Linked DNA regions of Notamacropus eugenii. The main gene of each other region encodes a partner of the protein of the gene in region 4 in a complex. Links are inferred from orthologs where the notes say so. Each region holds a gene or a part of one and is shown on either strand. Other genes may lie near its edges.

Evidence for each region.
Region 1: PCNA (region 4) and MCM2 share a complex: the UniProt entries of both Homo sapiens proteins name them as parts of the replisome complex. The link is inferred for Notamacropus eugenii from reciprocal best matches to the Homo sapiens genes PCNA and MCM2.
Region 2: the proteins of PCNA (region 4) and ZRANB3 are in contact, whole or in part, in a crystal structure (PDB 5YD8), measured with the Homo sapiens proteins. The link is inferred for Notamacropus eugenii from reciprocal best matches to the Homo sapiens genes PCNA and ZRANB3. Residues at the interface, in NP_002583.1 of Homo sapiens: Met40, His44, Val45, Ser46, Leu47, Gln125, Leu126, Gly127, Ile128, Pro129, Asp232, Val233, Pro234, Tyr250, Leu251, Ala252, Pro253; in NP_115519.2 of Homo sapiens: Asp1071, Ile1072, Thr1073, Phe1075, Leu1076, Val1077.
Region 3: the proteins of PCNA (region 4) and LIG1 are in contact, whole or in part, in a cryo-EM structure (PDB 8B8T), measured with the Homo sapiens proteins. The link is inferred for Notamacropus eugenii from reciprocal best matches to the Homo sapiens genes PCNA and LIG1. Residues at the interface, in NP_002583.1 of Homo sapiens: Met40, Ser43, His44, Val45, Leu47, Leu126, Gly155, Arg210, Ala252, Pro253, Lys254, Ile255; in NP_000225.1 of Homo sapiens: Ala361, Gly363, Arg364, Ser368, Ser388, Thr389, Gln390, Arg391, Leu392, Met393, Leu394, Val432.

The regions. Positions count from the first base shown.
Region 1 is NC_092874.1:427,038,851-427,046,348, forward strand, and holds the start of MCM2 (DNA replication licensing factor MCM2), read right to left. Parts: upstream 3,004-7,498; 5' UTR 2,892-3,003; coding exon 2,886-2,891; intron 1,572-2,885; coding exon 1,327-1,571; intron 1-1,326. UniProt on the Homo sapiens protein: Acts as a component of the MCM2-7 complex (MCM complex) which is the replicative helicase essential for 'once per cell cycle' DNA replication initiation and elongation in eukaryotic cells.
Region 2 is NC_092876.1:298,454,929-298,462,941, forward strand, and holds the start of ZRANB3 (DNA annealing helicase and endonuclease ZRANB3), read left to right. Parts: upstream 1-5,006; 5' UTR 5,007-5,868; intron 5,869-5,872; exon of another isoform or gene 5,873-5,991; intron 5,992-8,013. UniProt on the Homo sapiens protein: DNA annealing helicase and endonuclease required to maintain genome stability at stalled or collapsed replication forks by facilitating fork restart and limiting inappropriate recombination that could occur during template switching events.
Region 3 is NC_092876.1:12,034,715-12,042,389, reverse strand, and holds the start of LIG1 (DNA ligase 1), read right to left. Parts: upstream 3,008-7,675; 5' UTR 2,704-3,007; intron 2,572-2,703; exon of another isoform or gene 2,532-2,571; intron 2,190-2,531; 5' UTR 2,144-2,189; coding exon 2,127-2,143; intron 1,872-2,126; coding exon 1,785-1,871; intron 1,690-1,784; coding exon 1,548-1,689; intron 1,451-1,547; coding exon 1,342-1,450; intron 952-1,341; coding exon 682-951; intron 575-681; coding exon 502-574; intron 379-501; coding exon 298-378; intron 62-297; coding exon 5-61; intron 1-4. Other genes in the region: uncharacterized protein, read left to right, coding at 3,620-4,233, 6,521-6,833.
Region 4 is NC_092872.1:632,582,270-632,589,892, forward strand, and holds the start of PCNA (proliferating cell nuclear antigen), read right to left. Parts: upstream 3,016-7,623; 5' UTR 2,451-3,015; coding exon 2,230-2,450; intron 1,624-2,229; coding exon 1,526-1,623; intron 1,438-1,525; coding exon 1,370-1,437; intron 294-1,369; coding exon 99-293; intron 1-98. UniProt on the Homo sapiens protein: Auxiliary protein of DNA polymerase delta and epsilon, is involved in the control of eukaryotic DNA replication by increasing the polymerase's processibility during elongation of the leading strand.

The DNA.
Region 1 (7,498 bases), on a different chromosome or scaffold from region 4:
AAAAGCACTTTATTAATGGACATAGACATTTATGACTCAAAAGTTAGGGATGTTTAGGGAACATCAAATCAATCTTTATGGTCACTGTCATGGTAGGTAGGTATGCTTTCCCACACATCATCTTTTGATGCTGCCATCAGAGAAAGAATACTGGATGAAAAAAGCACTGGTAAGAACAGTACAGAATCTCCAATGTCCTTAGAGCAATGTTATCTGCCCAATTATAACCTAATGCTCAAAATACAGGTGTTCCCAAGTCTTGGTGCACTTTTTAACTTAACTATATAATACATTATCTCAGCAAAGGAAAAATGACTCTCCACATGTTATGCTTTCAATTTTATTAATTTCTTGACTTTCAAGTTTTCCATTTTGGCATTTGAGTTTTAAAAGTCTGTTGGTTATCTAATTTTTATTAGTTGCATGTCCAATTCACTGATCTGTTCTTTCTCTTCTGCTGATGAAAGTGATGGAATCCTAATAAAGCTGCCCCCAGCCCCAAAATTCTAACTTCCTTAGGGGACTCACTGAATAACAAGCAGGCCCTGATTTGACCTCACAATCTGGCTTTAACCACATCACAGGCCCCCAGTCTCAATACAGCTATTGCCCTTAGTTACCCCACTGACCCTAGACACAATCCACATATTTGAACAGGTGGGTCCTTGTACTTAACCACAATCACATCATCCATTTTAGCCCACGACAGGACCACAATACCCAACTATCCATCTTGATCTGACAGGACCATAACAGCTAGCCAATCAGAAAGCACCCAGACCAGGATGCTTGACAACTGAGTCATAGAAGGGCTCCCCCCATTACCTAATCCCTTAACAAACCCCTTCTGCCTTTTTAATATACATAATCTCTGCTGTGTAGTCAACATCATTACAGTATAAAATTGCCTATCCTGTCTTATTAAGTTGCTGGTTCCTCTTGGAACCTTATCCTGCTTCTGAGGGGCATCAATTCTCATAAATGTCTACACTTGGACTAGAGGTGGTCTGACTGAATTCTTTGAGACAGTCCCACCAACAATACATCATGAAACTGCAACTAGTGTTAGAGATATACATTTTCCCCTAAGGATAGATCAGGCTACACCCAAAAAATTCTGTTATGTTTCACTGGCATCTCCATATATTCTGGAAGGAAAACTGAGGCAGGGGGAAGAAACTTGCTACAAAGTAGTAATAAATGCAGTTAACTCCCTGGCATCCTACCTAACTAGCCAATCCTAAAGAATAGGGTTCTGGTCTAGAATGATTCTCAAACGCCCTGATCATCCCACCATCAATTCTGCTTTTTTCTCAAACCTCTCACCTCTCCATTCCATCTCCAATAAGCTCTTCTCCATCTTCTTCGTCTTCATCAGGAAGCCCTTCAGTGCCCAGAAGACCCTCTGATTCATCTTCAAAAGGTGGCAAGTCTCTGCCAGGGCTGGAAGTCAAAGCATCAGTGCCCCCACGCCGGGAACCCCGCCCAGGGCTAGATGTCAAACCATCACTGACCCGTCTGTATCTTCTGGCTGGACTAGAGGAGGCTATATTTAAAGACTCTGAGGAATCCTGAAAAAGGATCAGACCGGTCAGCAGTTCTGCATTTGTGCAGAGGCAATGACGGAGGCTTTCATAGGAGAACCTGTTCCAGCAAAAGAGCTGGGGTCCAGGATAGGATCTATGAAGTGTAAGGAAACAAATTTCTTCTCCCTTCCTTTGAAAAGGCTCCCACAAAGTAGAGATTTCCTTTGAGAGTGATATTTTTAAAAGAAAAAAACTATCAAAGTAGAGAAGGGAGAAACGAAAGGGAGATTAATAAATTGGGGCACTTTCAGCCCTGGTGCCAATTCCAGTTATAGGTGAGGATGCTTAAGCAGAGGGAAGGCTCTTCAGTGGCAGTCCCCAGGAGCCCCCTCCTCCCTCTACGATGCTAGCTAAGCTCCAGCACTGGGGTCTTTGCTGCTCACAGCTCCCTAAGGCCCCCTGCCATCCCCCCTTTCCTTCTTCACCAGCTGAATTTCTATCCATTCTCTAAAGCCCAGCTCAAGCGCTCCCTCCCCCGGGAAGCCTGCCCTTTCCAAGCTCGGCTCACCCACCCTCCCTCCAGGGGCTTTTTCTGAACCACTGGTTAGTGCCCCGCCCCCCACGTCTGAGATACTTTACTATATTCTATGCTCATTCCCCCCGAGTTCAGGCGGACCCTGGGAGCAGACTTGGCTTAAGTGGGGGGCGGGAGGCTGGTGACGTCAGACGCGCTGGATAGCAGTTTATCTAACCGCGGTCCTTCCCCGCCCCCCACCGCCTCAGCCCCCTAAAGCACCCAGGGGTGCCTGTCTGCCCCCACCGGACCCCGGCTTCTCTGCGGAGCTGCAGCCGCTGACCCTGGCCCCTGCCCGCAGGACCTTTCTGGGCCCAGAACCGGACACGGTTAGCCTGTCGGACTCTCGGCGGCCCCGCCCCCACCCATGCTTCCCCTCCCGCCCCCCAGTAACCTCTCCCCCAGAATGACCTTCCATCTGCCCCCCCACTAGTGGGCTCGTCCCCACAGTTCCCTGCAGGTGGGGGCCTCATCCCCCCTGAGACTGCAGGGCCCTAAACAAATAAAAGCCGGAGGAACTAACGCACAACCTTCACTTCTTTCCCCCCACCCCCACAGGAGGCCCAAGGGCCCCTCGTCTGCTCACTGCGCGTGCGCAACATTCACGTTTTTTTTTTTTTTTTTTTTTTTTTCTCTTCCCGCCACCCCCTCCCCTCTCCTTTATCCCTATTTCTTCGCAGCCCCCACCGGGCCCCTCAAGGACCCCCGTATCCGCTTCTCGGGTCTCTCTCGGTCACGTTCCCCCCCGCCTCCCCGCCCTCAGGCTGGCCGAGAGCCCAGCTCACCGCCATAGTTGCTTCAGCTCAGCTCCCAGATCCACAACTCCCTCCGACCCGGAGAAACAGTTTTCGCGCGAAAAAGCCCACGTGACCCGGAGAAGCCCGCGAAACGTCATGAATAATCAATACGCTTCCCGGCGCACGTCGTTCATATGCATAAAGAAGGCGGTCAGGAGGCGGGCCCAGAGATACTCCAGCCAATCCTACGCCGTCCTGAGCATGAAGCCCCGCCCCCTCGCGCTGGGCCGCTCGGCGGCGGGGCCCGGGAACCAGGACTCCTCTCAGTCCCGCCCCCCGCCCCCGCGTCGTCTGCCGGCCGCTAGTGCTCTCCGGCCTGCGCCCGGCTCGCAGCGGGGGGTCCTGGGGAGTCGGCCCGGACCGAAGGCCGGGTTGGGGGGCGGGCGGCGTGTACCGAGCCTGGGACCCGGGAGAAGCGCCGCGGTTATTGACGAGGGGCCGCAGGAGCCTTCGGTGCTGTAGGCGCTCCCGGCCGTCCCACGTGGGCCTCGTTGTTCGCCCTCCGGGCCCCCCTTTTACGTAACGGTGCAGGAAGCTGTGGGAGGGCGGACCTGAGAAGTGAGTGATGAGGCAGGCCTTCCGGAGAGCTAGCCCTGCCTCGGACTTCGGGCCTGCGCTGGGGGGCCGCTGCACCCGGACTGCCGGCCCGGCCCGGCGTGATGGCCGGGGCGCTCGGGGGGCCAAAGGGCGGACCACAGCTTTGCTGACCCTTGGCAGTTTCAGTGAGCGTCTTTCTGATTACTCTGGATTTCCCGAATATGCCGTCGTTCATCCGCACGCCGGGATAGTTCTCTCTCCTCCCTACCCGCCTCAGGGCCTTCCGGCTCCCGCACGGTCACCGCTGCGCGCAGCCCTTGCTTCTGGACAGACGTCCTCCTGCCCACTGTCCACCCCGGCCGCGCCAGACCTCTGTCCTCAAGCGTCCCAGCGCCCCTCCCCGCCGCCTGTTTAGGGGAGGACCTGGCCTCTCCCGTCCATCCTGGAGAATCCTTCCCCCGCTACGTCCCCTTCACTTGGGGCTCAGATGAAGAGACAGCCCTTCTCTTTACCAAGGCAAACTTCTCTTGAACCCATCTCTTCAGCTCTCCAGCCACTGCCCCCACCGTCTTTTCCATTCTCTTATCCCTTAAGGATCTCAGAGATCCTTATCTACCATAGAAGGAAAACAACTATCATTTGTCCAGCTGGGATGTGCTAAGAATTTTGCAAATGTCTCATTTGACCTTCACAACCACCCTGGGAGTTAGGTGCTACTATTATGCCCATTTTACTGTTAAGGAAACGGAGGCAGGTAGCAGTTAACTGATTTGCCAATGGTCACGCCGCTTATAAATGTCTGAGGCTGAATTTGAACTCAGGTCTTCCTGACTCCGGGTCCTGTACTCTATCCACTGCACCCCCTAGCCTCCAGTTCCTTCCCTACCACCTACAAACATGCCTATTGTCTTCCTTAGCCTTAAAATTCCCTCACTCCATCCTACCATACCCAAAGCTATCATCCTATGCCAATCCTCTCATTGATGACTGATCTCCTGGAGAAAATAATCTACACTTAGGACCTTCTCTTCCTCTATTCTCACTCCTTTCTAAACCTTGTATGATCAGGCTTCCAGTCTCATCATTAAATAGAAACTTCCCACTCCAGAGTTGCTAATGATTTTGTTCTGTATTTGTAATTTTGCTGTGTATGGGCCCTGCATAAACTACAGAACGAACTGCCACAGCTGATTTCTTTCAGTATCTTCTTTCTTCCCCTAATTGGTACAAAAGACTTAATTGCTAGGAAAGGAGGACTTCAGCAGCCCAAGGAATGTTTCCCTTCTTTATCTTGTCTGACATAATGTATAGTTCCTTTTGACTTAGTACAACTAGCTGTACTAACAACGACTAGATCTTTTATCTTCTGTAGCTAGTGATAGACATTTTCCTTAATGAGCACACTCTTTTCTAATAAGCAGCCATCTTTTCTTCTTGGTTTTATGTAAATACTTCTAGTTGGATTGTGAATGACACACATTTCCATCAATTGCTGATGGAGTGTGTCACACTGAATGAACTGCAGTAAAAATTTGTCTCTTTCTCTTGCTGGGTTATTGGCAATGGTTAGTCAATGGATTCATGCAACAATACACTGTCCTCTAGGTTTTCTTGAGAGTGGTGTGTCCTGGTTTTTCTCTTAATAACGGCTCCATCTTGGTCTCCATTGCTGGCTCTTCAAACATGCATCTCCAGTCATTCTGATGAATATCTGGTCACTGGATTCAAATGGCTGTGGAGAAGTGAGGCTGGTGACCTGCATGGCCCTCCCTCACTCAAAACAAAGTCAAGTGCAAGTCATGCCATGGGAGAAATGATTTCTCCGATGGCATGATCTTCTTCGGCAACAAAGGATGAACACAATCCTGGGATCCTCTGAATGGCAGAAGGGGGAGATGGAGAGAAAATTTAGGACTCAAAATCTTGTGTAAGTGTCTGTGGAAAACTAACAATAAATTAGTTTAAAAAAAAAGAAAAGTCTTCTGTAAAGAGGAGCTGCATCCTAGATCCTTTTCATGGAATGGGGAGTGAGGAAGGGCACTGAGCTAAGATCTCCTTTCCAGGGTTACAGTGACAAAACTATGGCCCAAACCCAAGGACTAAAGACCAAGATTCCAGTCCCCTCATTCTGTTCCTCAGGTCTGGCTCCACAATCCTGGCTCATCCATGTTCCACAGTAACTCTCATAGTCACTTGCCTATGGTTTGAGTATGTGGTCTTCTGCTGGAAAGATCACCTACCATGATTTCACTTTAGTTTTCTGATTACAGTTTGTTCAGGTGCTTATCTGACATATTTGTTTATGTAGCTGTGGGGAACTCAGCTGCATTGCTTCCTCCTAGTCTGCCATCTTGGCTGGTCCTCCAGCATCTTATATCCAACATATCCAAAACAGAACTCCTTATATGTCTCTCCCAAACATTCCTCATTTCTAAACTTTACTATTTCTGTTAAGGGTATCACTATCCTTCAAGTCAACCAGGTTTACAATCTTAATGTCCTCTTTCACTTTCCACTCTTCATATCCAAAGTACTGCAAAATCTCATCATTTCTACCTCCACAATATCTCTCCTGGAAATCTCATTTCCTCCATTCTCACAGCAACCGTCCTGGTTTCAGTCTTAATAATCTATCTTCTGGACTACTGTGATAGGGTTTTAACTAATATTCCAGCCTCAATTTTCTCTCCATTTCAATCCATCCTCCACTCAGTTCCCAGTGAGATTTAAAAAAAAAAATTGTGTATAACAATGTTTTCTTTTCTCCCCACCCTGTATAATGAGCTCCAATAGGTCCCTGTGATTTCTTCTTTGTGATGTGACATTTAAAAAGTCTGAGAGATGTAGTTTCTGGGTAGTTAATCATTTTATTAATAATGCTAGCATTTTATTAATAAAAGACTCAGTGACATTCTGGAATGCCAAAAACCAATCACAGTGGTGGGCTCGCAGTTTCTGTGACCTTGGAAGAATGCCTGTTCCTGAGGGTGGCAATCAACTCTAATTGGTTAACAAAGAGAGAGAAAGAAAATTACAATGAGAAGTAGACCTATTCTAATGAAGGGTGTGGGGATGTAACTTTCATTATATTGTTTACTTCTAAATTTCCCCGCCTTGGGCAATTTAATTAAAGAATTCATCCCCACCCATACCTGTGTAGAGCACAATGGACTTCCCCACCTTAGATTAAATTCCTTGTAAAGTTGGGTGGGGTCTGAACCAGATTGAGGAGAAAATTGATTCAATCTCATTTATCAGCAATGTCCTTCAGAGACTGAACAACCTATAGGCTTCTGAAAAAATTCTTGTCCTACGGCAATAAATGATTACTAATATGAGGGAGAAGCAATCATTTCTCTCAGTGAGGAGCAAGAAGAGGTTCCTTGCCTATACTACCAGTAGTATAGCAGGGAAAGAGTAGGTGGGATTCCAAATCAACATAGCTGTGTGGTCTTTCCTATACTCTCGTATTGCCAAGAAGGACATTGGACTAAAATTATATCTATCTACCACATAACAAATATCTGTAGCCCATCAGTACAATAAGGGATGCAGAATAAAAGGCACTTTACCCATCACTATCAAGGGGTGGGTAACACTAGGCTCCCCACTGCCAGTTTAACTCCCTCCAGCCAAACTGATTATACAAAAGACCATGACAAATAGCTGGTAAATTTCTTTATCAAAGTAAAACATAAAGAAAGGGGAGGTTATACAGATTAGAAGAGATCAAAGAACATACAAGAACTCTTCAGACAGTAGCAAGATAAAATCTCTACTCTACTAAGGAGAAATAGAATAATCTTATCCAGGGGAATCTGCTCTTAACAACCTCTAAGTGTCGAGAATAAAGGGAGATGTGGGGGCTGACTTCCCCCAATCTCTAGCTCCAGGGAAATCTTTCCACCATTCAAAAGTCAGTACAGATCCTTAAAGACCACCTTTAACAATCTCTACTCCAAAATCTGCTGCTCTGTGCAAATACTCAGTGTCTTTGATTTAGAGCTCTCTCAGCCCAATTAGAATGTAAATTCTTTCAGGACAGGATTATTTATGTCACCCCT
Region 2 (8,013 bases), on a different chromosome or scaffold from region 4:
AATCAGACACATTGTACCTTGACCCTAAAAAGTGATGTCATTTTGGTCCTTTTCAAGCATGAAGGATAACAAGCAGAAGTATTTATGTTTAGTTCAACTACAAATGTTCACTAATATAACCATTATTAAGCTGTATGCTATGCACTACAAAATTGTCTCCAATGACTTTGGAAGATTTTGAAAAATCAGATTCTCATTAAAGACATTACAAAAGCTCTGCACATACGTATAGAAATTTACTGGTGCACAGACAGTATTTTCTTTTTTGGGGGGTGGGGGTGGGGAATGCTTTGAATGGGAGGAGACATGCCAGCCTAGGTAGTAAAATAAAATACATCTGAATTTATCTAAAAGTAAACTGGGACTCAGTGGTATAGTAAATTGGTAGAATATAATCATTCTTTATATACAAGTCAAGCATAGCAATAAGGGTAATGGTACAACCACAACCAGCCTACAGATTGAAATACTACATCTCTGCTACTGGCTAAATTTTAAGGTGATATCACGTAACTATACATAAGTATTAGATGTTATTTCAAATTGCTAGTATTCAAGGAAAGGTAAGGATAAAGAATATAAACAGAAGGAGTTTTCCTCAGTTATGGGAATAGTTATGTATAGAAATAATGTACAATCAAAGCTAGAGCAACAGATCATTGCAACTGATCTAACTCTGTCCTTATGAAAAAGGAACAAACCTAAGCTACAGGACATCACAGGTTCACTTTTTCTGAACAAGTAGTGTTAAAAAAAAAAAAAAATAAGCTCAAGTAAAAGACAAGAGTTATAAATTTAAAGGCTACAGGAGGCACAGAGAGGAAACCAAATGAGAGATAAAAACGTGTCAGAGGCTGGCAGGAAGGAAGAAGACGAAAAATTAGTGAATGGCAAAAATAAGACTGACTTTTGAGGGGAAAGAGTCAGAATATTAAGGGACAAAACATGGGATGGAGGGAAGAGTCTTTTGGAATAGGAAAGGAAGAAATGACTTGGAAACAGGATTAAATAACTAACCATTTTGCTTAATTCTCTGAGCCAATTTTCTAATTTAATTACTTTTGTTTAAAAAACTGATTTATCAGGTATAGGTAAAATTTACTTCCATAAGAAATACAGTCACCATATTCTACTGACTTAATTACACAGGTTATGCACATATTAAAAAAAAAAATTCACTAGAGTTAAGTGTTTATTTTAAAATAGAGTTACCAAAAGAACTGACATGAATCCTTTATGAAACAACTTCTAGTTATTTACATGTACAGGTATCATTCTAAAGATGAGGTATATTGTTCTGTGGTTTGTAATTCCTTGCAATACCCAGAACTGTTTGCAACAAAAATATAAGATCTGCCTTGAAGCTTCCCTTGAAAGAGCTGACTAATAGTGATTAGTTATTTTAATGACTTCATAAAAAAGTCAAGATTTTTAAAGGCTTTACATTTTAATATTCACAATATTATTACTTGGCAAAGACTGTTAACTACTACAGCTACATTACTAAAGGACTTGAGCTGAACATTTACCAAAAAGGGTATTCACATGTACTAATAAAGGAAACGCTTTCCCCTTCAAAAATTATGGAAGTTTATTTCAGGACTAATAGGTAGGTATTCTGAACTGTAACCATCATATTAAAAACCCTAATAGACCATTCAACTATATAGGGGGATGTGGGAAGAACATGAAGGAGACTACCACCTGCTACCGCAGAGGATCCAGATACTGTCCAAAGGAATTGAGTACTAAAAAGGATCTCATTAGAAGAGTTTCATGGATACCATGGTCCATTTGGCAGTTATCCTAATGATACCTTTATAATAAGGCTTCAGTAAAGGTTGAAAATTGATTGCTTGGAACGTCTGGAGAAAAAAAGCTACAACTTTGGTAATATTTTTTATGTTTTCTTATATATTTGATAATGAATGACTTTTAAAAGTAATTATATATGACCTACAGGCATGACTTATATTAGAACTATACCTAAAAAATGCAGTACTCAATTTCTGCAAAGTTGGCAGTATTTTTTTTTATGCTTCTGAAATAAATTATTTTGAATATGTATTTAGATTCGCCTAAGTTACTGACTCACCTTCCTACTTTCTCTGTAACACGAAGTACTGGATATGGATATGAAATTGCTATATAGTATTACTGCTGAAATCAATAGGTACAACCTTTAATTAAACAGGAATTAGAGAATATTACTGTAGTGAAGGTATCATAGCCCAATATGTCTTCTATTATTGTTATTCCATCTATAGATGGCTCTTAGAGTAAAAGTCCTTGAAGGGCAGAGATGACCTCTGATCTCTGTAAGCCTCAGAGTCATTCAGAAAATGCCTTGCACATTAAGCTTTAACAGATTAAAAGCACACCAAGACTCTTAAAATAATCTGTATTTGTGGAATGAGAAAACTGGTAAAGCACCATATTTGAAAACAAAGGGAACAGGTATAAATTTTATTAGCTGTAATAATCTTGACCTTGACCAATTTATTTCTTAAAATTTTAGCTTTGTATTGGAGTGGAGAGATTATTGCATTTGGAGTTAGGAAGATCTGGGTTTGCACTGTCTCAGGAACTGGGCCCCTGGAAGCTTCAGTTTCTTTAACTAAAAAATAGGGATGATATTTTAAACTATATTTTAACTAAAAGATAGGGAGGATCAAATGAGATAATAGGTGTAAAATGTTTTACAACCTTAAAATGTTAGAGATATCGGCTATTATGATTACTTATCTATAAAATGAGGCAGTTTGACTAAATAACCTCTTCCAAAGCTGTGTTCCTTTAATGTTATGAATATTTGGTTATCAGTTTACTCTTAAGGTTGAACTTAACATTGAATTGAATGAAAGGATGGCTTTGGTTTTAATACTGTTATTCAGTGGTCAAAAAGAAGCAAGCATCAGTACCAAAAGGCATTTTCTAAGATCAAATTAGTTACATTTAATCTTCTCCAAAATAAATTAACGATATCTGATCTATTTACTATGTAACTTTTCTTTCTAAAAATGACAAAGTTGTGAGTCAAACTACACCCTCTTCTCAATGGTCACAGTATAAGTAAAACTACCACTCAGTTAAGATAGTATAAACACTTACATGGGTGTGACAAAGTAAATCTACTTAGCATTTAGGCTGATCCTAGCATATGTTTAACTTTCCCCCCAACCCCCTCCCAATTAAGGCAACTGGTAGCTAAAACTATCAAAAGATTAAACAATCCAAAAACCATCTATTGATGTCTACTGAGTATCCACTAGCTTTTTCTAAACTGAGTTGTTCCTACAGGAAGGGTTGGAGATGTTAAAACAAAATAGTGAGAAGTAACCTTACAACAGGGTCCTGGAATTAAAACAGATCACCAAATATCACCTCTGCTGCTACAGATAGCTACCATATGCCAAAGGAAAATGCTACTTCATCCAATCCTCAGTCTGGGGACTAAAGGAACTAGTAAAAATGCAATAAGCTATCACAATAGGTGCTTAATATTGACTATTATTGACAGTAACTCAACACACAAACAATAAGAGAAAGTAAAATTAGATTGTACAAACTACTCTCCTTATATTTGGAAAAGAGCAGACAATCCGTTTTTTTTGCACTGCACTTTCACTCCCTGCAACATAACTTCATGTGAGCTTTTAGTTAGTTTGACAATATTTTCCAATTTTCATAAGTTTCATCTTCTTAAAAATGGCTATTGACCAAAAGCGCTAAACTCACACTGAGAAGCATCTTTTCAGTGTTGTATTAGAAATTTGAAAATAAGCCAATCCCAGAAAAGCCAAGTTAATGTATTCAGGTGGCTTCAGACAGAAAACCACCTTTGGGTCAAAGGACCAGAGAGAAGTTGGGGGGGGGGGGGGTAGAAATAAACCACCCCCAAACACCCTACTGCTAATTTTCTCGACCACTTCCTTCAAGCACACCATCACCAGAAGGAGAGGAGCCCTTGCCAGGGGTGTCTGACCCTGACAGCGTTTCTCAGCCTGCCCTTAGAGCTTCTTAGGACAGACAGATGAACAGGAAAGATTTCACTACCAGCCCCACTGCCCCGCTGAAGGAGGGGGGGAGTGAGAGCGTGTGAGTGTGTGAGTGAATGTGTCTGTGCGGGGGAACATTCAACATTTTTTCCCGTCAAAGCACTGGGACAAGGGCTTACCGTTTGCTCTAAACGCAAGAAAAGATTTTTTTCGAAATAAACAAAAAGCTTCCCCTGGCCCCGCGAGGCCGTGGCTGCTGCCCGGCCCCGAGAGTCGGTGTGTTGAGGCACGGGCCCCCCCACGGAGAGATCGGCGTCTCTCGGGCCTGCTGTTTCTGTTCTCCGAGTCCTCGGGGACGCAGCAGCAGCTACAGCAGCTGCAGCCGCCGCCGCCATGGCAGGGACCCGGGCACCGCAGACGGGGCTCCCCCCGTGCTTCCTCCACTAGGCCTATGGGGACTCGCTCTACACATGGCCCCGGGCCGGGGGGAGGGGGAGGGGAGGGCTGAAGGAGGCCCAAGGTTCGGCGGCCCGGGGAGGGGGGCGCGTCTTTCGAACCCCGCCGGTCGGGGACTGAGGGCGCAGGCCGGTCCCCGGGACCTCGGCCAGCTCAGCTGGGAAGGCCACCCCCAATCCCGACACACCCCCTCCCCCTATCTGCCCCCCCCCAAGCACCTTCTCCGTTAGAGCGACCGGTTGGCGGGCGGGGGAGGGAGGAGCGGTACACCGGGGAGCTGGAGCGGGGGATGGAGGTGGCGGGGGGTGGCGGGGTGGTGGTGGTGGAAATGTCTCTTACCCGAGTTACTGAGGAGGAGGAGGAGGAGGAGGCGGTCGGAGCGCGGCGCAGCAGGGAGACAGCGGGGTTGGGTGGGCGCGACTGGGAGTCACAGGGGAGAGAATTAACCCCATCACCAGCCCCGGACACCGGCTCCAGCGGCTACCGCTGCTAACGAAGACCCGCCCACCACCACCACGCACTAGCCGCCGCCCGCCTCCTCCAAAGGGAAGTCGGCCAATTGCTGGTCGGAGAACTGAGGAAAGACACCAACTCTCACCAATCAACTTTCGGGATCCGCCCCTTTTTTTACTCCCTCCCCCCCACACTGCTGTGCCCCTCCTGGGCCGCGGTCGAGCTAAGTGCCAACCCTACTTCAGCCCGGAGAAAAAAAAGAACCAATCGGCTTCAGGGACCTCCGCTTGAGGGACGTGGCCATTGGCCAATCCCGGGGTCGCCCTGGGTGATAAGGCTTTTCCTTCTGTAACGAGGCCACCTTTTCCCACGAGTGGGATCCTGAGGATCAGGACTGTGATTAGAGTACTAGAGTGAGAAATCAATACCGAGAGTCTGAAAAAAGGATCTTTCGCTCTTGTGATTATTACGGTTAGAGAAGAGGAAACGTCCTTGAGCTCTAAGATGGGGCTTATTTGGAGCGTCGGTCCTCGGAGCTTTCAACACCTGGCTTCAGTAGCTAAGGACGATGGTTTCCCCCCCACCTTTCCCGCACACTTCTTAGCGGGAAACTACAGTTCCCATAATGGCCTGCAATATTCTTCCAACCTATTCTTCCTTTATCTTCCGCTGAGCACCATGGGAATTGCAGTTTCCAGGCGGGACTTGCGACCTTGGCCAATGGGAAGGTAGAAGGCGTGGGGCGGGAAGCCAATAACCCTCCCCCACCCCGCTCTTTCTCAGGTGAGGTTACGGTGTACTGCAGACTTTTCCTTTCCAGCCTTTTTCGTCCTCCAGACTCGTGAGGCGGACGGAAGGAAAGTTGTCTCAGGAGACGTTGTCAGAAATGAGATTGGGGTTCTCTTCCCCAATCCCTAGCCCCCGCCTTTCCTTTCGCCGCGTCTCCTCGACGTCACTTCCGGTAAGGGGCGGGCCCACGCTCCCAAACCCTTGGCGGGAGCCTGAGCTTCAGTGTCCCCCCGTCCAGGTGTGGGTCTGAGTTCGGCGTGGTGGACAGGTATCGTCCGCCTCTGCTGCCGCCCAGGTTTGGATGGGGATATTGGAGGCTGAGTAGGGGAGATGGGGAAAGAGAATGAAGGAAGTGGGCGGGGAGGGGGGGCGGGATTGCCATGGCCTGTTGCGCAGTGGAGAGTGTGCGGGACCTGGAGGCCGGAGGACCTAAATTGTTAGTTCTGTGACTCTGGACAAGTCACCTAACCCCTGTCTGACTCAGTTTCTTCAGCTGTAAAATCGGGATAATAATAGCACCTGTTTCGCAGGTTGCTGTGAAATACGAGATATTTGTAAATATAAGATAAATATTAAAAAGATACAAATATAAAAATAAGTTATTTGTAAAGCATTTTGCAATCCTTAAAGTAACAGATACTGGCTGTTTCCATCCCTTGGCTTGTCACGCATTATATAATTTTTTTTCCTATCCTCCTGGCCACTGAGTCAAGCGTTTATTAAATGTGACTCTAGGCCAGGTACTGTACTAAAGGCTGGAAATTTAGAAATAAAACAGAACGCCTCAGACAAAATATGTTCCTTGTCGCGGAGGAGCTTCCATTCTAACTGGGGAGACGTTATTGTGTTTGCCAAGAGCTATGTGCAAACACGATAGATCCAGGATAATTTCAGAAGGAAAGCGCTACCATTAAGGCAGACACGTGGTCAGGTTAGTCACTTTGGGAAGGAAATGAGCATTTATTAAGATTCTCTACAAATATCTCATGTGAACCTCACAACCATGGAAGGTAGGCACTATTATTAATTCCCATTTTACTGTGGAAAAAACCGAGGCAGAGATTAAGTAATTTGACGAAGATTGTTAACATCTTCCTGATTCCAAGCTAGCCCTACATCCAACTGTCTCTGTATTTAAAATGTGTATGTGTATACATATAAAAGTATTTTAGAAAGCTCATAGTAGGTGTTCCACAAGTATTTTTTGCCTGAGGCCTGTGTATGTAACCAAGCTGTCCATGAGCATGACATGCCAGAGAAGACAAAAACAAAGTGATTTTGGATACTGCCTAGTAATAGCGGAAAGAGGTCTGTACCTGAAGTTGAAGTGACAAGCTTCACATGCTATGTCTGCCACTTAATGCCAGCCTTGGGCAAGCTAGTTGCCTTAAGTGGAAAATGAAGGTGTTGAATTTGTTGAATGCTAAGATTTCTCTCAGTACTAAATCTATGATCCTGTGAATTCATCCTCCCCAAAAGTTTTTATATGGGTGAAATTAGGCTAATATGAACCTCAGAAGTGTATTTGACAGAAAAAAAAAGTCACAAAAATACAATGTGCGGTTTGAGGGTAGGATAGAAGTCTTTGCCTTGGTAAGAAAGGGCCTGCTGGTGGTTTGACACAGCTGTGTGACCCTTAAACCTTCAGCATTGGCTAAGGAATTGTTTTCTCCTTGAGACATTCTAGAAGAGGAGGCCCTGACTTACTGTATCTTAACTGTTTTTGAATATCAGACATCTTAATGCCCTTTATCTTATGATACAAACGGGGGAGGGAACACTAATATTGGAATCTCCTCTTTTTTTCCACATTCTACTCATTCTGAGACTTTCATCATGTTTTTTTGACTTCACTACCTTCTCTACTTATTTCACCCCTTTTCACTTTGTGGTACCTCATCCCAAACATCCCTGATATATACCTTTAGCTTTCATGCCTGCATTGATTTTATTTCCTTCATCAACTATTTCCATTTGTACTTCACATTTCATTTGCTCTAGATTGTAGGCTTCTGAATTGAAAATAACAACTCTTATTTCTGTGGTATTGTAACTTCCATATGGACTGTTGCACTCAGATACTTCAGTGGTACTTATATAGTAACTCACGATGGACTTTTTATCAGCTTGTACTTAACCTGGTGTAATGTAAATCTGTTTAAATTTTTCTCTATTCCTGTATTCACCAAGGCAGAGAATATTGAATTGAGTGTACTAGGGCATGGAGTGTTGAGTAAACTAGAATTAAAGAATTTTAGAACTGCAGTGGACCTAAGATACCTAATACCTTCAGTTTACAGGTACAGTCTATAAGCTT
Region 3 (7,675 bases), on a different chromosome or scaffold from region 4:
TTACCGAGCGGAGACTTCCTCAATTTTCTCAAATGTCCGAGCAACAACAAGGTAGGGGACCCTGTAGGAAGCAAGGTCAGAGGGGCTAGGGGGTCTTCCAGGTACAGGGCAGCCGGGTGGCAGAAGAGGAGCGAGACGATCACCCTCCCCTTCCCCATGATATGAAACCTTCACAGCCATAAAGGACTCAGCCGGCTAATCAACATTAAGGCCTACCATGTGCCAGGCTCCCAGTCTAACGGGGATACACTGGGCAAACCACCTGAACACAGACAGGGGTGCCCCTCATGCCCTCACCTCTGCCCTGGTCTCCAGCAGGCATCGTCCACGGGGTGATAGCTGCTCTTAGAAGGGTTGTAGGTGCCTGGGTCTGGGGGCCTGCGGCAGAGAGAGGCAGGGGCTGGGGAGCTGGTCCTCTTGCCCCTCCCTGGAGTTCCCTCCCCAGGCACAGATTGGCTGGGGGCCAGCCAGAAGGCAGAGATTCCTCTAAGGCCAACTTACGCCCTGGACATCTCCTCCGCTGCCTTCCCCTTCTCCTTTGGAGCTTGTTTTGCTGCAGCTGGCTTTCGAGGGGCTGTGGAATAAATGTGTCACTGGGGAGACGCTCTTTTCCCTTTAGAACCCCCAAGCCCAGTGTGGAATGGAGGCTGGCCCTCCCCAGACCAGAGGTGAGACACTCACCGAAGAAGCTGCTGAAAGCCTTGGGTGCCTGCGTGGGCGCCTTTGGCTCTGAGTTTTGCCTTGCCTCACCGCTAGTGCCCTGTGGCTCCAGGGCCTCGCCCACAGCCTCTGCAGGAGGCTGGTTCCCCTTCTCAGCCTCTGTGGCCAGCTGTATCTCTGGGCTTCTTCCTTGAGCACTCTCCTCTCTCTCTCTCTTAAGCCTTTTGGGCTCACTATCCTCACAGTCCTCAGGCAGCTCCTGGACCTTCCGTTTCTGCATCTGTTTCCGAGCTATGAAGAGAGCAAGTGAGGATTGGGGAGCAATCAGTGATGGACAACCTCCTCATTATACACATGAGGAAACTGAGGCAGGCAGTAGTCTGATGATTTGCTTAGCCTTCCACAGCTAGTCAGTACCTGAGGTTGGATTTGAACTCAGTTCCCATGGTACCCCCAGTGACCTTTAGCAGCAGTAAGGGGGAATGGAGTTCAGTGGCAGAAGAGAGAAGCCTGCTGAGGATTCAATCTGGTCTTCACTCCTGTGGCCTGGACCATGTGTAGGTGGAGGGGAGGGTGGCTAAGAGAAAGGGCTACCTTGGAGGCACCTGCTGGAGGTGCTACTCTGTCTGGAGGCTCAGGGGAAGGCTGAGACAGAGCAGAGATGAGCCTGCCCTCGCTTACCTGTCCGACGTTTTGGGATCCCTGCTGGGGAGATGCTGTTGGGTGAGGAGTCTGAGGGGTATGGGTCTGAGCTGGTTGGAGATGTGGCCGGAGAGGGGATGGTCAGCTCCTGCAGGCGACAAGGAGTGGGTGTGGGGAGGTAAGAGTGCGTACTCCCCATGGGGCAAGCGAGAAAAGTGGTTGCTGCACCTCCAGAGGCTGGTTACCTGCTGTTGGGGGGATGCTGGGGCTGTTTCCTCTTCCTCCTCCTCACCTTCACTGCCCAGAGCTCGGGGCACTTTCCTCATAGGCCTCTTGATTGGAGACTCACTCTCAGGTTCTATGGCATTCCTCTCCTTCAGGGTAGCCCTGGGGGGGAAGCCAGGTCAGGAAGGGGTCAGAGGGTCAGGGATGCTCAATCAGCCCAAAGAGCCCCTGCCCACTCAGATCACCCCCCCACTAACTTGGAGGCAGGCTCCTTGTCTTTGCTGCTTTTGGGGGACTCTTCCTGCTTCTTCACTTTGTCCCCACTCATAGGTTGGAAAAATGACCTGCGGGGAGACACCAGAGAAAGGCTAGGTCTAGGCACAGGGCTCAGGGCCAAGGGCAGGAAGGTGGCCCAGGGCCGGGCACAGGTGGAGGAGCCAAGGGCAGGAAGGTGGCCCAGGGCCGGGCACAGGTGGAGGAGCCAAGGGCAGGAAGGTGGCCCAGGGCCGGGCACAGGGCTCAGGGCCAAGGGCAGGAAGGTGGCCCAGGGCCGGGCACAGGGGCAGGGCAGGGCAGGGCCGGGGCGGGGGGCTCCTCACTTGATGGATCGCTGCATGCCTGCTCCCGAGCTCTGCCCTCCTTCCTCCTCTCTGCAGCGCCTCCTGGAACCAAACGTACAGATGTGTGAGGATGCCGGATGGGCGCGGGGGGCACAAGCTGCCCGCTGCCCCCAGCTCTCCGGGCCCCGCCCCCACCTTCACCCCCCCGGGGCGCCCCCTCTCTCCAGGGGTTCAGGTAACGGGCGCCGGGGAGGGGTGCAGCCTCCAGAGGAGGCCCCGCACGGACTGTCCTGGGTCCGAGGCTCCCTCCGCTGTCCGGCCTGGCGTCCATCGTGTGCCGGCCACGGGCCGAGCCCTGGACGTGCAGAGGGAGACCGATGCGGACGAAGGTGGGGGCCGTGCTGGAGGCCATGGGGGACCGCGGCGGCCTGACAGGAGTCCTACCCAGAGCCCTTTCCCCACTCCCCGGCTCGCGCATGCGCAGAGGCCCTCGGCCCCCTCCCCATCTCCGAGGGTCAGCAAGGCCGGCGGGCCTGGAGCATGCGCTGTGCGTATGTTTATATATGTGTCTCCTCTGTGCCCCCCCCTCCCCAAAACTCTCCCCCAGCGCGCTGACCTCTCTTCGCGTAACGCTACCAAGACTCCGACCCGGCTCCCGGCTCCGGCTCCGGCTCCGGCTCGGCTCGGGCTCCACTCCAGCCACCAGCCCCACTTCGCGCCTCAACTTTCGCGCGCTGAGGTGCTCCAGGAGAGTGACTTCACCGACCGGTTGCCCTCCCCTTCGCTTCGCGGGGCACGCCGGGAGTTGTGGTCCAGCCTAGTGGGAGGGGCAGGACCTCTGCTCTCGGAAGAGAAGCTGGGGGATGGGTTGGGTCTGGCCGAGGCTTCCGGACGGAAGCCCGCGGGGCATGATGGGAAGAAGGGCAAGAGCTGACCCAGCGGAGGGGAAGCAAAGCATTCTGGGAAGAGGGGCGGGCCAGTAGCCTGGCCTCGCGGGGCATTGTGGGAGGGTCCAAGGCGTCAGGAGCCGCTCGTTCAGGCTCCGAGCGGGCGGGAGGGGTGAGTGACGGGGAGGGAGAGATGCACATCTGGTGGGGGGGTGGTCACATCTAGAAGCTGCGGGGGTGGCGCGTAGTGGGGGACTCCACATCTGGGGGAAAAATGGAACAGCTGGATGTAGAGTGCCACATCTGTGGGAGGGAGGGGCACAGCTGGAAGCAGACACGCCACATGTGGGGGAGGGAGGGGCACAGCTGGAAGCAAACATGCCACATGTGGGGCAGGGAGGGGCACAGCTGCATGTCGGGCTTCACTTCTGGGGGGGGGAGAGGTGGGAGATGGGCATAGGTTCAGGAAAGAGCCCAGTGGAAGCCAGGGCTCAGGTGTGCCATGGACAAAGTCTGGCTCCAGTATCTACCGTTTCCAGTGTCTTATCGCTTCCATCCACAACCTGTCTGGCGGTCAGCACTGGCTTAGGGTCACTGCTGGTCTTGAGGTCCGGGTCTCCCCTTCCCACCCCCAGGTACCCTAGGATGGAGGAGGACCTGGAAGCAGAGCCGGAGCCTGGGCGGGAGCTGGAGGTGGAGCCCGAACCTGTCCCGGAGCAGGAGCAGGATCCTGAGTCTGATCAGGACCTGGACCCGGAGCCAGAGTCCGAGTCCGAGTCGGAGCCTGAGCCCGAGTCGGAGTCGGAGTCGGAGTCGGAGTGGGAGCCAGAATTCGAGGCAGAGCTAGAGTCCGAGTCTGGCCCCGAGCCTGAGCCCGAGTCCGAGACTGAGCCCGAGCCTGAATCCGAGCCCCAGCTGGAGCCCAGACAGGAACGAGAGCTGGAGCCCGAAGCCGAGCTGGAGCTGGGGAAGGAATCAGGAGCGGAGCCAAGGCTGGCGTGGGCCGAGGCCGGGGCCCAGGAGGAGCGGGAGCTGCAGGATCGGGAGTTTTTCTCTTGGGCAGAGTTCAGCCGCTTTTTCGATGCTTGGTGTCAGCAGCATCGGGCCCTCTTCTTCGTCAAGAACTCCATGCACCTGACCAAATGCCGTTGGGCCCTCGATACCCCGCTCCGGGCCCTCATCGATGTCCTCAAATACAGATACGTGCGGCTCGTCTGCAAGGATGTGCGGGCCCCTGCCGTCAGGCCTGGCATTGCGGGGTGAGAGGCTCAAGGCGGGGCAGGGCCTGGTGGTCCTGCCTCTGCCCCTTCTCCTGCTTTCCTGTGGGAGCCGGGCCAGGGCCCAGAGCTCTTGGCCTATTGGTGTTGAGTCTGGGTACAGAGCCCCACACTTGAGTTTGACCAAGAACCAAATGCCATATTGTTCCAATTATGTCCCCTCCCCACTCAGAACCCTCCATGACTCCCCACTGCCCATTGAATAAAGTTTAACCTCCCCAGTGGCATTCAAGGCCCTTCCACCTTACCTGCCCATCCTTATCTAAGATAACCCCCTGGAGAAATGATGTGGAGGTAGAGACAGGTGACCCGGGAGGAATCATTTAATCTGTGCCACAGTTTCCAGCTCTGTGCCCCCTCAGGTCCATGTCAGCTCTACATCTCTGCATCTGGATTTTGCTTCTTTTCCACCTGCCCCCATTACTGTCCCCCACAAGATAGTTGAGGTGTCTCCCCTTCATGGCCAGCTCCAGGGCTGCCCCAGCCAGGAAGCCTCCCCTTGCGTCTCTCTTTTGTCTTGGGGCCCTCCTCAGCATTCTGAGCTTTCTTTTACACTGATTGCCATTCCCAACTTATTGGAATGCATCTTTTTCCAAATAGATGATAAGGTTTTTATGGGAAGGGTTAAGGTTCCCACTTGTTTTCCTGTGACCTCTGACCCTTGCATTTGTTTTTGAAATAAAGCCCCCAAGGCAATTGCAGCACATGGCAGGGGCAGGGGCAGGACATGGACATGGAGATGTAGGCCTAGGAAGAAGGACCTAAGAAATGCTCTGAGATTAGAGAGGAGGGATTATTTCTGTTTTGGTTTGGAAAGCAAGGGGTGGCTCATGTATGTGGAGGGGAAGGGAGAACATTGAAGGCTTTGTGGATGAGCTGGACTCCAAAGGTTGGGTAGAAATGGAAAAAGGGTATGGCATTCTAAGGATAGCAGACAGTGTGGGCAAAGGCAGGGAGGTGGGAATGCAGAGCAACTGCTCAGAGGGTAGTGAGGCTTTTGGTTTGGTTAGAGTACAGGGAAAGTGAGGGAGATTTTGAAAGGCCTTGAATTTTGGACAAAGGAGTTTTTGTTCTCTTGGCACCAGGGACTCTGGTCAGAGCTGGGGGCAGGGGGGAAGGAGTAGGATATGCCTCCCTGAGTCAGTTTCCTTGTCTGTAAAAGAAGTCTGAATAAACTAAACCCTACTGACCAACACCTTACTGTAAGGAGTTGAGAAAGGGTACTGGAGTCAGGAGAGCTGGGTGTCTGCTCTGACACTCACCAGCATTGTGATCCTGGGAAAATCCCTTTTTCCTTTGGGGCCTCAGTTTTCTCCTCTGTGAATGGTGGTAATCATCCCTGTGCTTTTAGAAAGTCACTGACAATTGGGTGGAGGGTGGCTTAGAGAGGAGAGAGGATAGATACCAAAGTCGAAGACATCTACAGTGGAGAGGAGGGAACATGTGAGAGAGCTTGGGGACAAAGAAGTGACAAGACAAGACTCAGTAGCTGATGTGAGTTTTGAACTCAGGTTCTCCTGACTCCTTCACTGGTGCTCTATCCACTGCACCACCTAGCTGCCCCACTGTGAGGAAGTCACTGAGCTTGTGACCCTGGGAAGATGGTATGTAGTTCATGCCCTTGGGGAGGGATAGGAAAGAGTGAAAGAGAGGAAGGTTTAGGGGAAAAGACTGAAGGTTCAGTTTTAGACTTGGTTTTGAGATGTCTCTGGAGTGGGACTGCAAGTCTCAGGGGAGACTGGACATGTAGGATTGGACTCATCTGCATAGAAATGATCATTAACCCTCCAGGAACTGATTAAGTCACCAAGAGAAAGAATGACCAGGACAGAGACTTGCCACTTGAAACACGGTGGTGTTACTACTGGGGAAAGACAGAGAGACTAGAACAATTCCTGTAGGTATTAGAGGCAGGCTTACTTGCTGAGGGAGGTGTGAGGAGGTAACCACTGCAGAGAGGGGGGTATGGTGGGAATGCAAGAAATTTGTATAGAAACTGATGTACCCAGTTATGAAACAGCCTGGCTGGGATGGTCAGAAATAGAGAGGGGCCAGAAAAGCAGGTTAACTCAGGTTAAAAGAGAGGCACTCTTTGGGACAATGGGAAGATGACTGTATTGGGAGTCAGTAAGCCTGGGTTCAATTCCTGGTCCTCTCTGGGCTTCACTTTCTTCATCTATAAAAAGATGTGCCTTTTAAGCTTCTTCTATCTCTGAACCCTGCAAGGCAGGCAGCTGGGTGACCTCTCCCTTTCCCTCTCTTCTTGTAGGAACCCCCAGCTGGGCTGTCCAGCCTTCATCATCCTGAAGCTCAGCCCACTGCGGGACCGCCTGGTGGTAACCGAGTGTCATCTGACCCATTCACATCCAGCTTGCCCTTTGGAGTTTGCCAACTATTTTCGCCCAGGCCATCTTCTTGCCAATTCCTGCCTCCCGGTTCGCACCACCAACAGGATCTCCAAGCAGTTTGTGGCCCCTTCAGACATCCACCGCCTCCTCTCCTACTGCAAGAGTCGGGACCATGGTGTCCTAGATGCCCTCCATGTCCTGGAGGGACTCTTCCAGGCTGACCCTGAGGCCAAGGTGCTAGCTTCGCATGGGGCAGGCAGGCAGAGGGGGCGGGTGGACCCAAAAGCAGAGGGGTAGGCCACTGGTGCTGGAGCCCGGGTCCATTCTTTGGGTGGGTTGAGGGGGAAGACATCAAGGGAGAACTGGGCAAGGGCAAGGGGGGGCGGTGTTTTGTGGCAGAAAGCCATTGCCTGTGGCCTCCAGGATATTGGCTTTTCTTCATGGGGAAGAAAAGGAATGGGGGCTGCACAGTGACTAGAGAGAAGGTTAGGTTCAGTCTTGGCTCCGTCCCCCTCTGCTTGGCTGTGTGTCGCTGGGCAAGTCTTGACCACTCTGGTCTCTAGGTAGCTGGGTAAGGCCAGAAATGGCACAAAAAAGTGCCAATCAGTATTGGTAGAAGATGTTTTCTTATGCAGGAGTTTTGTCTATCTCTGAGACCCCATGGCAGGGTCCAGCCCCATCCCTGTCTTTCCCTTCTCTGGCTCTGGGCTCTTTCCTAACCCCCAGGGAATGTTCTCTAAAAATGATGTGAATTTGAAACCTTACCCCTCACATGGACCATTAGGACCAAGTCAGGAGGCCCTGCTTCTAAGGGTTTAGAACTGGAGGGGCCTTTGGATGTCCTAGTCTTGAGGAATTTTGAGCTAAAGATTTCTGAGGGTCACCTGGGCCAAGCCCTTGGGGAGAGGGCCAGGCTCTTCCTAGGGAGGTGTTCAGGGGCATGTTGGGGGTGGGTGAGTGGAAAGGGTTCTTCTAAATACTGATGTCAAAGAATCTCTGCTGAATACTTTCCTGAGTGGGGAGGGGCTCTTATATGATGAGCCTTGTTCCATTTGGCTTCACAGGGCAGAGCCAGG
Region 4 (7,623 bases):
AATTTCAACCTATTATTCAACTCTGGATAGGTTTTGCTTTACCAATATCCTAATTCACTGTACTTAAATTATTTTCTCAAGATTTAAATTTGACTTACAGCTTCCTCTTCTTTGTCAACATTACTTGTCTGTGATAATTTTACATTTCCACTTCCTAGTTCTCCACTGGCAGAAAATTTTACACCATCTTTTGCACATGAGATTACAACAGCATCTCCAATATGACTGAGATCCCGACAGATTCGTGCAAATTCACCAGAAGGCATTTTGACCACACAACTGTATTCCTGTTCCTGTAATACAAAAACAGCTTTGAATATGATTTAGGAGTTTAAATATTTAGATGTCATCGATCTCATTTGCTGAAAGAATTAAGAGCTATGAAATTGCATTCTTTTGAATAACACCTACTCCAAAAAGATAATTAAGTTATGACAATTAAATAATTTATTTAGGAAAGCTTAAGAGTACAACTATCTTTTCAAGGAATATTTGATGTAAAAGGAAGTGAAAAGCACATTTAATTCTATTTTAACTATTTAATAGCTATGAGTAGCCAAATCTATTTTTCTTGAATGTATTCTGGAATGACCAAGAGTTTCGATACCAGTCACCCTACTAGATACTAGATTATCAATATTAACAGCCCTGTTAGATACATAAAGATGGGCCACAGAAAGGGTATATGGGTAGCTGTATAATTTACAAAAACTTGTTTTCCAAAAAAAATTAGTTACTTTTATATTAGAAATTTTAATATCCAATCACTTTTCTACTTTGATGAAGATAATAAGAATTTATATTTCCTTGGAAATGATTAAAGTCTACGAAAAGCTCCTTATAAACTGTTATTAATAAAAAAAAGTCTAATGAGCTTAAAAATTAAGATACAAATATTATAGTAGAGATCGAATGAAGGGAAATTAAGAGGAAAGAGGCTGTCTAGTGTGGTAGAAACCAATGTTTTGGAGAGTAAAGACCTGAAGCTCAAATCTTTACTCTCAGTTACGACCTCAGGCAACATTTAACTTGTTTAGCTTTGCTGTATGGTAATAAGCTTTTAAATTGGCTTCTAGCTCTAAATCCTAACTGTATTATTTTTGTTATTATTATTCATTCTTAATAAATCAAAGAATTTTAACACTGATTTTAGACTTATTTAACCCTTTATTTCTTTAAATAGATATACAATGTAGTACATATTAAGTTAAAATGAATGTCACATTATTAAAAATGATTTTCTCTCATGCCAAAAATTTTCTTTACATATTAGAACCTAAATATATAAGTATTAGAGATTGACTTTGGTCATATTAATTTTATTTAACTATTATAATGAGACATATGACAAGAAATCTCCGATACTTACTGGGATTCCAAGCTGTTCAACATCTAAATCCATTAATTTCATCTCATAGTCTGAAACTTTTTCCTGATCTACAAATAAAACACAAGATGCCATTTTATATTTCAGTATTGGTGTTATAACTAAAAAGCGGGGTACGCGTTTATAGGACAAACTTACTTGGTGCCTCAAAGATCAACGCCAGCGTATCTGCATTGTCTTCGGCCCTTAGGGTAATAATATCTTCGTTGCTGGCACATTTCAGTATTTTGGACATGCTGGACAACGGAGAACAAGCAGTAAATAAACACGTTCATCGATAAAGCCCCGGAGGGGTTACAGCCGGCCCTGTAACGGGGCACACGCAGATGCACGGTGGACGTAAACAGGCACATTCCGGTGGCAGGAGGCACCGCCGATCTCCCTCCTTACCCGAACGCCGATCCCGGTTTTTGTTAAGCAGCACAGCCCGCCGGCCCTCCCTAACAGGCGCCCCGCCGCCGCCTCCCTCGGCCGGGCTCGCTCCGGCCACGAGGCCTCTCGTGGAGCGGACATGCTTTTCACTTTAAATAGAGGGCATCGGACGCAAGCCTTCCCGCCACAGCCCCTCCGACCGCATTGTGAGCTTGGCGCCGAAATGACGTTGGCGGGAGGCGGCCGGGGCGCGCTTCCCCTTCCCCAAACCGCGCGCTTCGGCCCGGCCCCGCCCCCTGCCGCCGCCAGGACCAATGAGGCGCGTCCGCCTCTTCCCCCCCCCCCACCGCTCCCCGGCCCGGGCAGCAAGAACTACCTCGCTCGGCTGCGCTCCCGCCAAGAACCCGGGGAGAAGCCCGGGGGCGGGGGGAGGGAACACTGTGTTTACAGCACCGGAGGCCCGAGCTCACCTGGTGAGATTAACGCCCATGGCCAGGTTGCGGTCGCAGCGGTAGGTATCGAAGCCCTCGGAGCGGAGGGTGAGCTGCACCAGGGAGATGTGGGACGAGTCCATGCTCTGCAGGTTCACCCCGCCCGAGCTGATGTCCCAGCAGGCCTCATTGATGAAGTCCTTCAGCGCCTCCAGCACCTTCTTGAGGATGGAGCCCTGCACGAGCCTTGCCTCGAACATGGTGGCGAACAGCGATACCAGAGCAGAAGCGAGGAAAAACCAAGCGGCCTAGGCTCGAGGGGAAGACAGGGCTGGGCTCACCCACTGAGGCGAGGTCCTCGGCCCGGGAGCAGAAGCGGGGGCAGAGACGCACTCACCACCGCCGCCTCTAACCAAATGAGGCTCCGCTGCTCCGCCTCGCGCGCTCGCCGGCAAGCCGCTATGACGTCACGGCGTAACCGCCCGCCTCCTCCCTAACGCTACTGGTGCTCCCTCGACCAATCCCATCGCGAAGGTCCCCCTAAACCTCCTGAGCCAATCAGAGGGAGCAGGTTTACCCCGCCTTTCCTCGTTGCCCGGGCTTGTTCAGGTTCACCTCCTCTCAATCCTTTTTGGTTTGGGGCCGGGGGCTTTATTTTTGGTTTAAAACCTCACTCCAGGAAGGTGGCTCACTCCTCGGACAGTGAGATTTAGAGCTGAAAGCCACCTTGGAGAGCCTTTCATCTAATCCCTTCAGTTTACAGACGAGGAAGCGGAGGCCTCCTGGAGCTGAAATGACTTGCCCGGGGTGGTCACATGGGTAGCAAGTGGCAAAACGCCTTCCAACCCGGGTCCTTTGGCTCCACAAGCCGTGGCTCACTCATGTTTTAATCAGAAAAAATAGTACGTTACAGTGCGTGGCACACGATAAGCATGGATAATGCACGTTCCTTCTTTCTAGGGTAATGGGCAGTAACGTTTGCCACGACCTTTTTTTGCTGGCAAGTTTCTGAACACAACAGAAAGACCTTACCTTCACCCAAGGACTTGTAATTTTTAAAGAACCATGGACGTGCTCTGGCCAGTTGGTGGGCAGGGGATGTTTGGCCCCTTCCCGTTCTCTAGGTTCTCATCCGTCAAATGGAAAGGTTGGATCCAGTGAGGAAGGTTCTTTTAAACTCTTAGGTACCAATAACTTTCTTTCTGTATGCCTTTAGCGGGTGGCTTGTTGGATTAAACCAAGTGGACCTGTGTGTCCGCGGCTGGAAGAGAGAGAACGTAGCTGGATTTCATTTCCCACCCCTTTTCTTTGACATCAAGAAACTGAAGTCAAGGGAGATTAGGTGACTGGCCCAAAGTCACGGAGGCTCGGTACCGAGGCGTCTCCTTGCCCCATTCTCCAGCGCCTTCCGCCCCCAGGCTTTGTTCTCTCCACCCCACACTTTCTCTACCTGGGGTAGGTTGACTCTTGGGGGATGCTAGGAGACCGAGGACAGGGTAAAGAAATTATTTGGTAAGTAACTATTATCCCTTTAAAATATTCCCAAAGAAGTAGTGTGAGTGGGGAAAAATAGTTTTGAAGAGAGAGTGTAACTATAATGCTAAAAATGGTATGTGCGAAATAAAATTTTCATTATGGAAAATTCATCTCTACATTTTATTTGTACGTACATATGCATAGTAAACGTTAGAATTTATTTCCTTTCATACTGAAAGGAGGTACCGAAGGATTTATTGAAAGCCAGATAGGGGGCCAGAAAGAGGTTGGGAATCCTTGCTTTACAGTCTGTCTCTTAGTGACTTCATGAACTCTCATGGATTAAATTTTTGTTTCTACCAAGACGACTCCCAGATATATATTGCAAATTCCAGCCCTGCATCATCAACTGCCATTGGACATTTCAAACTGGATGTCTTACAGACATGTAGAACTCAGCATCACTAAAACAGAACTAATTCTCTTTCCTTCAAAACCTGCTCCTCTTCCAAACTTCCCTGTTTTTGTGGGGGCACCATTATCCTTTTAGTCACCCAGGTTTTCAGCCTTGGAGGCATCCTCCATTCCTTCATCATGTATTCACCATGACATCATATATTCATTCAGTTGCCAAGTCTTTTCAATTCTACCTCCACACTCACATCAATCGCCTTCTCTCCATTGACATGGACACCCTCCTAATTCTGGTCCTTGTCACCTTTCACCTTATCTATATTGCTCCTTTCATGTCTATAATACATCTTTCACATAACTGTTAAAGCTATACGGAAAAATTTTTTTTCTATAATCAAGCGTTTTTTTCTCCTTCCTACCTCCCCTCCTACTGAGAAAAGAAATAAAGAACCCTGTATCACATAACCACAGTCAAGCATTTACATTCAAGATAGTTTTATATTTATTTCCTTCCATTCTATTTTCTTTTTTTTCTCATTTTTATTCCTCAAACTCACTTTATTAGAGATTGTTATTCTTTCTTTCCTTTAACCTCCTGTTCATGATCCCTTCTTTCCAAGCTTAGGGTTTGTTTTGTTTATGGCAAATCCTTCCCTGAATCCCTCTATTTCCCATCCCTATATCTTTTTTCCCTTATATTGTTCCTTACTGTATCACTATTGAGTTAAATGTATTCCTACACAAAAATTGGGACACTAATGCACTATTGGTGGCGTTGTGAACTGAACAGTTCTGAAGGACAGTTTGGAACCTTGCCTAAAGGGCTATAATTTATCACAGTGCATACCTTTTGAATCAGCAATACCACTGCTAGGTGTGTATCCTAAAGAGATCAAAGGAAAAGGACCGATAAGTACAAAAATATTTATAGCAGTTCTTTTTTTGGTGGCAAAGGAAAGGAAATTGAGGGGATGCCCATCAATTGGGGAATGGCTGAACAAGTTGTGATATATAATTGTGATGGAACCTTTTTGTGTTACAAGAAATAACAAGGTAGTTTCCAAAGAGCCTGGGAACTGATGTAAAATGAAGTGAGCAGAACCGGTAGAACATTGTACATAGTAAAAGGAATAAAATAACAATGATCAATTGTGAAAGACTTAGCTACTCCTATCACTATAATGATCCAAGACAGTTCTGAAGGACTTATGATGCCAAAATGCTATCTACTCCAGAGTGAGAACCGATAAACACTGAGTGCAGATTGAAGCATAATTTTTCATTTTATTTTTTCTTCCTTTTTTTCCCAACATGGGTATTAGGGAAATATGTATTGCATGATTTCCTATAAATAATTGATATCATATTGCTCGCCCTCTTAATGAGGGGGCAGGCGGGAGGGAGACAATTTGAAACTCAAAATTTTTTTAAAAATGAATGTTAAGAATAAATTTTAAAAGAAAATGACAAGGAGACTTGAGAATGAAAAATGAATTATAGATTATAATAATGAAACTTGAAAACTAATAATAGTATAGTTAAAGATATAAATGAGTTAAAAGACTAATTCATCTAAACTTTCCTGAGGAGTCTGGAAGATGTAGGTGTTTTGTATTTTAAAAGATCAGATTGCTTAGTATGACAATTTTTTCTAAGCTTTCTAACTTCTGCTTATTCCACCTATATGTCCAACTCGGATAAAGAGTGGCTGAGGCCTCTCTCATTATAGCTCTGTCTTTCCCTTCTCACCAGAAGGTCACCCAACAGGAAGAAGTCAGCCTAGGGAAGGGCACATTCTGGTTAATTGATACTTTTTCAATGCTCCTCACTCTGAACTATGAAGCCACAGCCAGTTAAAAATTCTTCTATGGTAAGTAGACCAGAACCAGTTACAGAGTTTCTTCTCTAAGTCCTTGTGGAGATTGCATCAGATGTACCTTACACATGCTCGTAGGCATTGGGACTCACTGGCCCATATCCCATTACAGATGACAAAAAAAGAAAGGCACTGGACTCCAGAAATGATCTCTAGGATTTCTTGTAGCTCTCACTGCCTACATAGTATAGTTAGGGAACAATGCAAAACACCATCTGTTTCCCAATGGTAGAATGTAAGCTCTTTGAATTCAGGGACTATTTTCACTTTTTTCTATATATCTCCAACTCTTAATGCAGACAATTGAGTGTATTTGAAAGGTAATAGGCTCGGAAGGCTATGCTATGAGTAGCAGGGGTATTATTTTCTCTCTACACTCTCTAGGGAACCTCATCAACTCTCATAACTTTAATTACCATCTCCATGTAGATTGACAGATAAGAATGTCTAGCCTATCTCTCCCTGAGCTGCAGTCCTTCATCACCAGTGGCTAATGGAACATTTCAAACTGATTCTTTCCAAGACATACCAACCTCAATATGTCTGAAACTTAACCCATTATCTTTCTCCCCAAACCCCCCCTTCCAAACCTCACTATGTCTGTCAAAGGTACCAGTCTCAGAGGTTTGTAAATTCGAAATTACCCTTGACTGCCCATTCTTCATTACATTTATCTATCCAATTAGTCGCCAAATCTCGCCATTTCTACCTCCACAACATTTCTCCACTCACGCAGTGACTACTTTATCAACCTAGAGGCAGCTGAGGGTGCAGGGCCTGGAATCAGAAACATCTGAGTTCCAATCTGATCATAGACAATTATTAGCTGTGTGACCCTAGGGTTTCCTCATGTGTAAAACGAAGATGATAATAGTAACTCTTACCTCACAGGATTGTTTAAGGATCGAATGGGATATTTGCAAAGCATCTGGAATATAGTAAGCACTATGTAAATGTTAGTTATTATTATTAGCTGTATGATCCCGAGCAAGACGCTTAAGTGCCTTAATTTTCTCATCTGTAAAATGGAGCTAATAATAGCATCTACCTAGTAGGAGCTATGCAAATGATCATTTTCCCCTCCTACCTAGATTATTGTATCAGCCTATTGATTGGTCCATTCTCTAGTCCAACCTAGAGAAGATGAACTAGCACCCCTTGAATGTTCTCCACTTCTGGTTATGAATCCCCAGCCAATGAAAAAGTCTCCTTTATGGTAGCAGACCAGAACCACAATCACTGCTGCTACAGAAATTTTCTCAAAGTGTCAATGTGACTATGTGGCTCTGTTAATCAGATACTAAGGCTTCCTACAGCTTTTTTTGTTGTTGCTCCTTTGTTTAGTTTTTAAAGCCCTTCACAGCCTGGTTCCAACCTATCTTTTCAACTTCATTGGACTTTACTTCTGCAAAAATGGCCTTTTTATTCCTTTTTGATAGATAGCCCACCTCTCATTTCCATGCCTTTGCACTGGTCATCTCCCATGTCTGGAATTCATTCCTTCCTTAGCTCTACCTCAGGGTCCCTCTCTTCCTTTAAGCTCAAGCACTGTGTGAAGGCCTTCCTCATCTCTTCTAATCACTGCTAGTGCCTGTCCTCCATCTCCAAATACCTTGTATTTAACTACTTTGTATTTATTTCTTTCAATCACTACATACTGAGCCATC